3 linked regions of the Callithrix jacchus genome follow. The protein of the gene in region 2 interacts with the protein of the main gene of each other region in a pairwise test. Links are inferred from orthologs where the notes say so. Each region holds a gene or a part of one and is shown on either strand. Other genes may lie near its edges.

Evidence for each region.
Region 1: the proteins of PSMA3 (region 2) and ZNF366 interact in binary tests that used the Homo sapiens proteins (3 or more experiments, as listed by UniProt). The link is inferred for Callithrix jacchus from reciprocal best matches to the Homo sapiens genes PSMA3 and ZNF366.
Region 3: the proteins of PSMA3 (region 2) and AURKB interact in a two-hybrid assay, tested with the Homo sapiens proteins (2 studies listed by BioGRID and IntAct). The link is inferred for Callithrix jacchus from reciprocal best matches to the Homo sapiens genes PSMA3 and AURKB.

The regions. Positions count from the first base shown.
Region 1 is NC_133503.1:138,634,414-138,638,162, forward strand, and holds the start of ZNF366 (zinc finger protein 366), read left to right. Parts: upstream 1-1,190; 5' UTR 1,191-1,316; intron 1,317-3,749. UniProt on the Homo sapiens protein: Has transcriptional repression activity. Acts as a corepressor of ESR1; the function seems to involve CTBP1 and histone deacetylases.
Region 2 is NC_133509.1:92,903,345-92,907,093, reverse strand, and holds the start of PSMA3 (proteasome subunit alpha type-3), read right to left. Parts: upstream 2,512-3,749; 5' UTR 2,426-2,511; coding exon 2,405-2,425; intron 1-2,404. UniProt on the Homo sapiens protein: Component of the 20S core proteasome complex involved in the proteolytic degradation of most intracellular proteins. This complex plays numerous essential roles within the cell by associating with different regulatory particles.
Region 3 is NC_133506.1:74,675,212-74,678,960, forward strand, and holds the start of AURKB (aurora kinase B), read right to left. Parts: upstream 2,790-3,749; 5' UTR 2,637-2,789; intron 2,467-2,636; 5' UTR 2,442-2,466; coding exon 2,394-2,441; intron 685-2,393; coding exon 582-684; intron 470-581; coding exon 415-469; intron 210-414; coding exon 18-209; intron 1-17. UniProt on the Homo sapiens protein: Serine/threonine-protein kinase component of the chromosomal passenger complex (CPC), a complex that acts as a key regulator of mitosis.

The sequences.
Region 1 (3,749 bases), on a different chromosome or scaffold from region 2:
TTTCCCTGAACTCACTTTTGTGACTCTTTGCAATCAGGTGTATCTGTTCACCTCATTTTTTTCACAATTAGGTGAAATGAGGAAGTAGTGTAAAGCTAGTTTTTCTTTTGCTGCCACAAAGGTCTACATAACTGCCAGTTCCTTTTCACAGTGAAAATGATCCTAACCAGATGAATGAGGGGTGCAAAAGACATAACACAAATCTGAGAAGTTAAAACTGAGCTTATACCTAAGTGCAGCTAAGCCTAAGCAGAGCTCAAGCCTGCCTGCTGAAGTCCCAAGTCTTCTACCTTGATAAAGGGTACTTCCTCCACGTTTTTCTGCTCCTGCCTCCCCCATATTTTTTCAAAAATTGTGGCTGATTTATCTAAGCCCTATGCTGCTTGGCAGTATTTTGAAATTAGAAATCTCCTTCCAGTTTTCCAGAGGTGACTAAATCCAAGAAGCCTTAGGAATGTAGAGGATAGGATAATATAAACAACAGATCTGAGACAGCCATGTCCTGCAGCAGTTGTGGTTAGTTGCTTCTTTTCCCTTTTTCGTCCATCAGTGATGGAAGCTGGATTGGGTCCACTGCATAAAGCTCGGGGACCAGAGCATAAGTTTGCTATTTGATTCTGGAAAAACTCTAAGGATCCAGAGTCAGCCGAGGAATTGCAGGAACGCTGGTGTTTCAAAGGGCCTAGGAAAAGCCAAGAGTCCTGGCTGACCAGCCCTGACACTGTCTTACAGGCTGCAGGTTTACCTTGGTTAGCACAACAGGCCAAGCTCTCCCTTGCTCTGAGTCGACATGACATGATTTGCTCCCTTTCGGCTGTGTCAGTTCTGCAAACCAGATACCAGAGGCTGCAAGCACGGGAGAGCCTGCCTTTCTGGAACACCATTTGTTTGGACAGGACAGGCCACTAAGGCGTTTTCATCTCTTTAAAGCTCCCAGGGCAGAGAGCATACTTGAGGAATTCCTTTTTTCAAAGATTTTTTTCTTTTTTGCCCCTTCCAACATTTTGTTTAAGAGAAAATGAGATGTCTATCTTCTGTTTCCTTATTTTTTTTCAGGAAAGCAAAGGGTTGTTGACTTCCTCCCTCTCCCCTCCCTTCCTTCCTTCTTCCCGAAGGTACTCATCTGAGAAAAAGAGAACGAAGTATTGTTCCTGTTCTCTTTCTTAAGTCATTCGAAACACTGTCCCTGCGAGTTCTTTAAGTTCCCTGCAATCTGTACACAAGTGAAAGAGGGAGAGAGAGAGGGAGAGAGACAGAGAGAGCAGGGATCAGGTAAAGGAGTGGGGCTGCTGCAGCCATTCAGACCTCAGGAGCTGGTAAGTTACCCATGCAATCATTTCTGCTTCCATTTCAAGGTTCCTGGGGTGGATACTGCTGTGGGCATCTTCAACAGAAAATACCTTACTGAGTATAGCCTTAACCAAAGGGTGTGAGTGATAGATGGCCCAGAATTTAAGCTAATACCGTTTTTTGTAAGGGACTACTGATGCTTTGCAGAGCTAAGGCTGGTAAAACTAGAAATAGAATTACATTGGGACTAAAGAGGACACTGTGTTAAATCTGAATTTTGGCGTAGATCATGTGGCTGGGTGAACCAGGAGCCACTGGAGTATGAGGTATGTCCCACTGTAGAATTTGCTCTTCCTCAGTACTATGTCCTGGAAACCTTATCAGGCTGTCTGTTAAGGACGGTGGTTTTTCTCTGGGGTTTTTGTTAACATGTTGCCTGGATTGAGGTGCCCTTCTCCTGTTCTTTTCTTTCCATTCCGCATCCCCCTAAAGGACAATTGTTAATTGTTATATGATGGTTATTCTGCATCACCAAAGTAGGAGGGAAAGAAAGAAGGGAATGTCACTTGGAAATAGTTCTGCATGTGGGGAGCTTATGTGTTCAGGTTCCATGTGCAATGTCATCTGCCACATGAAAGAAGGCAAAGGTTTTGGGGCATATAGCTTTAGTTTTGGAAAACAATATGCAGCTAGAATCGGAGGATTAAGATTGATCATTTATGTCAGTAGGAGGGGAAAACTAAGTTATAGCACAATTGAAAAACATTCACTCAGTGCCTGGTTTTCCAAGCACCAAATAGAGCACAGCCAGCTAGTCAGGCTTATATAGACAACTAGTTTTTAAAAGTCTAACTGGCTTCAGTTAAATTTTTCATAAAGGATAATGTTACCAGGAACCCATCCTCACAAGCCATGGGGGAGCCGAAATCATGTTGTCAAAAATAGGTCAGAAAGGTCACTCCGAGAGACTCAGTATGTTTTCCAATATTAATACTTCAATTCAGAGAGATGCCGAATGGGGGAAAGCCAATGGCCATGCACACTTTTAAAAAATATTCACTCCTATGAAATTTACTGACTGAAATCACCTGGGATGTGAAGAGTAAGATAAAAATAGCTAGACTCTCATTTTTTAAATTAATTTGGCCAGACTATGCTTTAACCACATGCAAGTAATTAATCTTTATTCAAAAATGAACCATCATCTTATGAAGGATGAGAAAACATGATAGAACTAGACTGTGATGTAGCTTTTGTTCCATTAGTCAGACCTCTTTGTTCGTCTCCTTTTTTCAATAGACTTTCCTTAGGAGCACCATAAAAGGAGCAATGTAAAGAGACGTGATTAGAGTTTGCCAGCTTGCTGATGCAAAATTATTCTAGTAACAATTGAAAATGGTTTCCAGCTACCCTACCTCCTCCGCTAACTACTCAATTTTTATAGATCTTCAGATCAAACGGTAGCCGGGATAGATTGTTCAGGGATTATTGCATCATTTATCAGCAGTTGTGGCCCCAGAAGAAAACGCAGGTCTGCGATCTTCACTTGCTCCTTTCAGTTTCATTTCTCTTGATAATGTGTTTAATTTTGTGTCCAATTAAAACAACATCACAGAACACATTCTAATTTTGTTTACTGAGTGAAAGCATCAGATGCAACACAATAGGAAACAAATGACAGCAGAGTCATCTGTTAAAGACAAGAAAGGCAATTAAATTAAAGACAAGGAAGGCACAAGGTGGGTAGGCCAGTGGCTCAGAAAACAGCCCCACTGCTAGCATGAGTCTTCGCTATGGCTTGAGATTAAGAAGCTGAGGATATGCAGTTTTCTTTAAAAGAAAAAATTGTACTCAATATTTCCATTTAAGTTGTTAAGTCATTGCCGTGAAATTATTTCTCGGATCCTGGGGAATAAGAACTTTAGCCACCTGAAGAACAAAAGCCATCGACTGGTTTAGTCTAAGTCACTACCACTCAATCTATCTTTACTCACTCAACTCCAAAGAGTGAGTTGGCATTTGTGGAAACTTCCAGTGTGTGATTCCTTGGGGGTCATGGTGTGATATCATTGGGGGAATTCCAGTTTGAAGTGATCCAGAATTTGAGACATACAATATTTTACTCACTCATTTCTGCCAAAACTATACACATAACTAAATTATAATTTCTTACATACATTTTAAATCATGTTAGGATGTGTGTCCTGTAGATCTGTGTGCTGAGATGTGAGTCAAATTAGAGTGAATAGGGCACAGGCTGTTGTCACACTAATTTGAGTTTGAATTTCAGCTTCCTTGCTTACTGATGATGGGCCTCAGGCCAGGTACTTAACTGCTCTAAGTCTCAGTGTCCCCAAATGTAAAATGGCATCAACATAATGGAATTGTGACAATTAAATACAACTATTGACATAAAACACTTAACATAATGTTTCGTAAGTAGTAGGAGTCAGTCAATG
Region 2 (3,749 bases):
ACACACACACACACACACACACACATACACACACACAAAACCTGGTTTTTGAAAAAGATTAATATTTAGAACCAGCACTGGAGTTAGAATATTTAAATTTGTAATCATAACTCTGCCATTAACAAACTAAAAGACTTCATTCAACTCATCAAACACTTAATGAGCATCTATTATGTTGGTCTAATATGGAATACAAAGATGACCACTCATTCACCAAGTCCTTCAATTTCAAATCAGACAGGAATCCAGGTGCCAGAGATACAGCAGCAAATCAGAAAAGGCACTAAGATGAAAATAAAAGAGTAAAGCGATAGAAGAAACTACTACAGACTACATCATCAGGGAAGGCCTTCTGGGGCAGTTATATTTAGGATGAGTCAAACCTAAATGACAAGGAGCTAGCCATTTAAGATATGATGGAAAAGCCTTCTTGGCATTTGGCACAAAGATCTTAGGGTTGAAAGAAGGCTAGCACAGTCAAGGAACAGAAGTAAGCTCACTGTGTCCCAAGCACTGTAAGAAGCAGAAAAAAAGAGCAGACTGTGTTAGTGAGGTAGTTGAGGGCCAAATTATGATGGGTCTTCTAGGATGGAATAAGGACTTTGTATTTTATTCTAAATGCAATGAGGATTTAAGCAGTGGGGTGGTACGATCTACATTTTTCAAAACCTCATTCTGGTTTTATGTGGAAAATGAACTGTTGAGAGAACAACAGAAGTAAAGATAAAGTGTTCCAAAGACAATGGTAGTAGCTTAGAGAAGAGGTGGAAAGGAATACTTTTTGAGGGTATAGTAAAAAAATAAATAAAAATGAACTTGCTAAGTCAGGCACGGTGGTTCACACCTGTAATCCCAGCGCTTTGGGAGGCCAAGGCAGGTGGCTCACAAGGTCAACAGATCGAGACCATCCTGGTCAACAAGGTGAAAGCCCGTCTCTACTAAAAATACAAAAAAATAGCTGGGCATGGTGGCGCGTGCCTGTAATCCCAGCTACTCAGGAGGCTGAGGCAGGAGAATTGCCTGAACCCAGGAGGCGGAGGTTGCGGTGAGCCAAGATCGTGCCATTGCACTCCAGCCTGGGTAACAAGAGCGAAACTCCATCTCAAAAATAAAAATAAAAATAGAAAAATTAGCTGGGCACAGTGGCTCATGCCTGTAGTCCCAGCTACTTGGGAAGCTGAGGCAGGAGAAGCGCTTGAACCCGGGAGGTGGAGGTTGCAGTGAGCCGAGATTGCACCACTGAACTCCAGCCTGGCAACATAGCGAGACTCCATCTCAAAAAAAAAAAAAAAAAAATTTGTAGAATGAAATACTATTAATTGAAAGTAATATTAATACAGTTGCAACGTCAATTTGCTACAAGATTACTGAGCACTTATCCAAGAAAAGTATGGCAGAACTTAGCATTCATAACCGAATGGATTTAACCCCTCCAGACACTGAGTTGCCTATTATCAAATTTAGACACCAGTACTTGAACTTAAGGCTGAGCATGAGAATCTTGTTAAGAAGTAGAAATTGATGAACTGAGAAACTCATTATTCAATAACTCTAGTGCAAATGACCAATAAATCTTTTAGAAACTGTATTTTTTATGTAGAGAAGTACATAAAAGGAGTAAACTGACTGCACATAGGCTATACGTTTAACAAAGGAAAGCCAAACAAGTAAACAGGTCTCACTGCAAGAACAGTCTATCAAAAGTCTGAAATGGTTAAGTTTCTATGTGATCATTTAAACATTTACGGAATAAATGCCTTAAAGCGCTGTTAGGTAATTTTTGCAGGAAAAACAAGGACAAAGCAAGGTAATTTTTGCAGGAAAAACAAGGACAAGGGAAATACTGAAGGATTCAGGAGATTTTAGCTTTTCGGATCATTTTAATTCTGTTCCGACAGGGTTTCCAGTGACTCTTAGGCTGAGCGGTCGATGATCAGTACACTTAAAGGAAAGACAGAGAGGGCCCGTGAATCGGCAGCACCCTGGGAACTGCAAACGCAGTCCACAGAAAGCACGGTCTCCAGACTGTGGAATCCCAAACCGCACTGCCTCGGTGGCTGTCTCAAGAGAACGCACTATTTCAAGCCGCATGAGTTTCCACTTTCGGTTTCCCTAAGCGGCTGAAGAAAGTGACTCAGCAATCCAAAGCTGCTCCAAACCTCACTGCGGGGACGCCAAACCGGCTACACCCGGGCTGAAAAGCTTCAGGAGTCACAGTCACCTGAGACGCGGGCCTAGCATAGAGGGGATAAAGATGACCGGTCTCCAAACAGCTGCAAGTGGCCCACCCAGCCGAAGACGGCCCCAGAGCACCCCGGGTCCGGGCACCCCATGTGGTCTGCTGGAGTTCCCTTCAAACCCAAACCTTAGGTTAGACTATGACACAGAGAGACAGCAAACTCACCCCGGTGCCGATGGAGCTCATCGTGCTAAACCCAACCGGACGCGTAGGGCTTCCAGGCCTAAAGCGCTTCCCCTACACCACAGGACACCGCAGACTAGTAACAGGCCAGCTCATTGGCTGCATCACCAACCAATAGCCTTTTTCTCTATGGTTCGTTCTGCGGCTGCGTACCCTAGGACGAGGAGTATTGTGGGAAAGAAGCGGGACGCTAGAGGCGGGAGGCGTGCAAGTGCCGAAGCAGAGGTGGAGGGGGTAACGGAAGGCAAAGGCCTTCAGTCCGCGTTCTTTGAGCTGCCAGGCGTCGTGGTATTTGAGAAGCTGCTGTATTCCTTTCCTAGGAATTATTATTTATCTTTTATTCTCTCCTCGTCACTTTATTCTTTCTTTAAGCAAAAGTAAGAGATGCTCGTATACTGTCACAAAGAGTAGAAAATGCAGTAGTGGCCAAGTCACCTGTGCTCCTCGGCGTCCCGGCCCAGACCCAGTGTCTTGATGGCATCCACTTCACCTTTTTATGCTCAGGCTCTTGGGAAGTTTCACTTCAAGCGTATCATCTTTGAATTCAGCTCGGAATTTTACAGCAGAATTAGTGCCGTTTCTATGAGTATAACGCTTTTTAGTAGGATTAAAGATGTTTGATTAAAGATATTTATTGAGCGCTAATATATTCCACGTGTTCAAGAAAAAGCCATGAACAGAACATACCCCCGTTTCTCATGGGATTTGCATTCAGTGGGAGGAAATAGGTAAAAATAAATAATCAAAATAAGTAGTGAGAAGGAAGAGTGCTTTAATAGACAATCGAAATGGCTTTCTGAAACGATATTTAAACTAAAATGGGCAAAGGCTGAGTGGTTTAGGGAACAATAAACTTGGCTTGCGCTAGGAACTGTCATGTCAGAGTGACCTCTCAATGATTAAGTGGGGAAGAGTGACAGGAGGATAACACGTGCACATGTGACCAAATCTTGAAGTGGTTTAGATTTTTTTTTGAGACAGAGTCTTGCTCTGTCGCCAGGCCAGAATGCAGTTTCGCCATCTCGGCTCACTGCAACCTCCGCCTTCCAGGTTCAAGCGATTTTCCTGCCTCAGTCTCCTGAGTAGCTGGGACTACAAGAGCCTGCCACCACGCCTGGCTAATTTTTTGTATTTTTAGTAGCGACGGGGGTTTCACCGTGTTAGCCAGGATGGTCTGGAACTCCTGACCTTGTGATCTGCCCGCCTGGGCTTCCCAAAGTGCTGGGATAGGCGTGAGCCACCGCACCTAGCCGTGGTTTGGATTTTAATACATTTGTAAATAGGACATCGGCAGTTTTTTACTCCTAAATATTAATTCATCAGTGTG
Region 3 (3,749 bases), on a different chromosome or scaffold from region 2:
GGGGCATCAAGCCATACTGCAGGTGGGCCTGGATTTCGATCTCTCTGCGCAGCTGATGCTCCACACCCTCCTTCTCTATCTGGGACTTGAAGAGGACCTTGAGTGCCACGATGAAATGGCTTTTCTTCTCCCGAGCCAAGTACACGTTTCCAAACTTGCCTTTGCCCAGAGGACGCCCAATCTCAAAGTCATCAATTGTGAAGGACCGCCTGCTTAGAAAGTGGGGGAAGGCAGCTCAGAACCAGTTTTGGTTATCTAAGATGTTTGCTTTTTCCCTGCTTCCTCATCCCATCCTGTCCTCAGCCCCATTTTTCTTCATTCCTACTCCTCCTGCCCTTAGATTTTACCTCCCCGACTTCCTGCATGTTCACTGCCCCCCTCATCCCTGTCCACCCCAAGGCTTGGGGCACTTACGTTAAGACGTTGGGTGTCCCGCTGCTATTCTCCACCACCTTCTGGCCAGGGGCAGCTAAGGAGAGAACAGGTAAGTTGAATGAGAACAGGGATGACATTCTCCTCCCTACACCCTCCCATAGACTCTCATCTCCCCAAGTCAGTCCTCTCCCCCTTGTCCCAGTTACCTGTGGGCTGGACATTGGAGCGGCTCATGAGGACAAGTGCAGATGGGGTGGCAGGCTCTTTCCGGAGGACTCGCTGGGGCAGGGTGCTCAGGCCAGATGGAGTCTGAGAAGGAGCAGGGGGTAGCTCTGAGGGTGCCTTTGTTTGATGACCGGGGTGGAATGTGCTGCAAGCAGCATTTCAGCCCTCTGCTAAAAAGCCAGTCACCCGCCCACCCCCAATTCAAATAGAAACACTGACATGACAGTTTTGCTTCCCAGGCTCTGCTTGTAGTATCATATTAAAATGGATTATTAATAAACCTAAGTAGGCCTAAGATAAGGGGCAAAGGACTCACCCCAACAGCTAACATTTCACCTCTTTGTCCCTGGCCCACACCACCTTCACAGGCATGAAGGTGTCCAATCTGTCCATAACACCACAGTCATTCATCCAGCCCCTCACTCACAGCATAGTAGAGGGCTGGGTCAATAAACACCTATAATTCAAGGGGGTTAGCACAGAGGTATTCTCAGAGTTTCCTTAAAGTTTAGTTTATTAAGGCTTAGATAAGATCCTTGAGGCCTTGAATGTTATAGCAACAACCTGGATTTACAGCTTTGCAAGAACAGGCTTTAGGGACACTAAGAGCTACTCTGATGGGCCTAGACCACTTCTCACTTTCAACTTCTTTTTTTTTTTTTTTTTTTTTTGAGACAGAGTCTCATTCTGTTGCCCAGGATGGAGTGCAGTGGTGCAATCTAAGCTCACTGCAACCTCCGCCTCCCAGGTTCAAGCGATTCTCCCGCCTTAACCTTCCGAGTAGCTAGGACTACAAGGTGCCCACTACCATGCCCAGCTAATTTTTGTACTTTTAGTAGAGACAGGGTTTCACCATGTTGGCCAGGATGGTCTCGATATCTTGTTCTCATGATCTACCTGCCTTAGCCTCCCAAAGTGCTGGGATTACAGGCGTGAGCCACCGTGCCCAGCCTCACTTTCAACTTCTCAAAGTAATAGATGCACTTTTAGGAGTGACCAAGGTAAAAGTGACAGTGGTTTCTCATCCAGACTCCATTCCTGACAGCCTCATTCAGTGCTCCATGAGGGAGGGAGCTGATGCACAAGGACACAGACTCTTTAGGAAGCCCGAGCTCCACAAGCAGGGAGCAAAACCTGTGCAGGGCCCCTTCTGTCTTCTTCAGCCAAGAGAAGAAAGTCCCAGTGCCTCTAAAAACCTGTTCCCCAAAGTGATATTGGTATAGATCTACAAATAACCAAGTTGAATAAAATACAGTCCAGAAATAGACCCACACCTATGTGGGAATTTATATATAATAAAAAATCAGGGGAGACCCTTCAATGAAATCTGTCTGGACAATTGGGAAATAAGTCCATTTAGATCCTTACCTCACCTTAGTCATTAAAATAAATTCCAAATTATTAATTTAGACTTGCCCTGGACTGTTTCAACAGTAACCTTATAGCCTTTTAGAGTCCTTTCTATTTGCTGCCTAGTTTATTTTTTCAGCACATGGGTTGTGAAGGCCAGGCCCTGCCTACTCAGTCCCAGATATCATTGGTATGTGATGAGCAGGCTCAGCCCCAGGGGTCCTCACCGGTTGGGAGTCACTGGCTTGTCAGATTAAAGTTGGCAGGATGTGGCTATAAATGACCATTCTGGGTTCTGTCACCAAATTCTTGGGACCCGTACTTTGGAGCAGAACGGGGAAGAAGGTGCTTAAAGGATTGCTCACTGCAGGATCTCAAGTCTCCCAGCAGGAACTCGCCGTGCAGGGACAAGGTGGGGGCGGGGATGGAGGGAAGGGCCTTACCGTCTGCCGGCCGTAGGGCCAGGGGTAGGCGTTCTCCTTCTGGGCCATCCTTAGAGGGAAAGGCGGAGAAGAGCTGGGCGGAGAAGGGAAACAGCCGTGAGAAGCAGAGAAAAAGAAAGAGAGGGAGGGGTTGGAGCGATCGGGTCGAAAGCGCTAGCCTGGGCTCGTAAAAAGGACCAGGTCAGCACACTAGCCCCAGTCCAGGCGCTGGTCTCACCTCCCCCACCCTGCTATCGTCCCTACCTCCTTCCAGCCTTGCGGAGTGCGCGCGGGCCAGCCCGGTGGACCTCCGACCTGCCCGATCATCTGCCCACTCCCGGCGCAAGGCCTGTGAAAGGAGGCCAGCTCACCTGGAGCCCAAGGCACTGCTACTCTCCCTGCCTCCCGCAAGCAACTGAATCAGTCACGCCGCGCCCTGATCCAGGACCTTTCAAATCTCCCGCCCCTACCCCATTGGTGAGCTCTTCACCCATGCCTAGTTCCCATTGGCTACATATCCTGCGACGTAAGTCATGGGAACCCAATGGAAGAGGCGGAATGAGAAGGTCGCACGCTCGGCTACCAGCTTAGAAAGTTTCCCCAAGTTTCCCCAGTGAATTAGCTTTTTCATTTCTTTTCCTTTTTTTAACTTTTCTCTTTTTTTTGAGACACAGTCTTGCTCTGTTGCACAGGCTGGAGTACTTTGGTGCGATCTCGGCTCACTGCAACCTCCGCCTCCCGGGTCCAAGCGATTTTCGTGCCTCAGCCGACCGAGTAGCTGGGATTACCGGCGCCCGCCACCACGCCTGGCTAATTTTTATATTTTTCGTAGAGACCGGTTTTCGCTGTGTTGGCTAATCAGATCTCGAACTCCTGTCCTCAAATGATCCACCCGCCTCGGCTTTCCATAATGCTGGGATTACAGGCGTGAGCCAACGCACCCACCCCTCTTCTTTTTATTAAAAAAAAAATTAAATCTTTGGCCGGGCGGGGTGGCTCACGCCTATAATCCCAGCATTTTGGGAGGCCGAGGAGGGTGGATCACGAGGTCGAGAGATCGAGACCATCCTGGTCAACATGGTGAAACCCCGTCTCTACTAAAAATACAAAAAATTAGCTGGGCATGGTGGTGCGTGCCTGTAGTCCCAGCTACTCGGGAGGCTGAGGCAGGAGAATTGCTTGAACCCAGGAGGCGGAGGTTGCAGTGAGCCGAGATCGTGCCATTGCACTCCAGTCTGGGTAACAACAGCGAAACTCCGTCTCAAAAAAAAAAAAAAATTTAAATCTTTAATATAACTGGAATTTATTCTTATGCATGTGTGAGCTGGGGTCTAACTTCTGCCCGATGGAGAGCCAGTATGTCAACAACATTTGTTA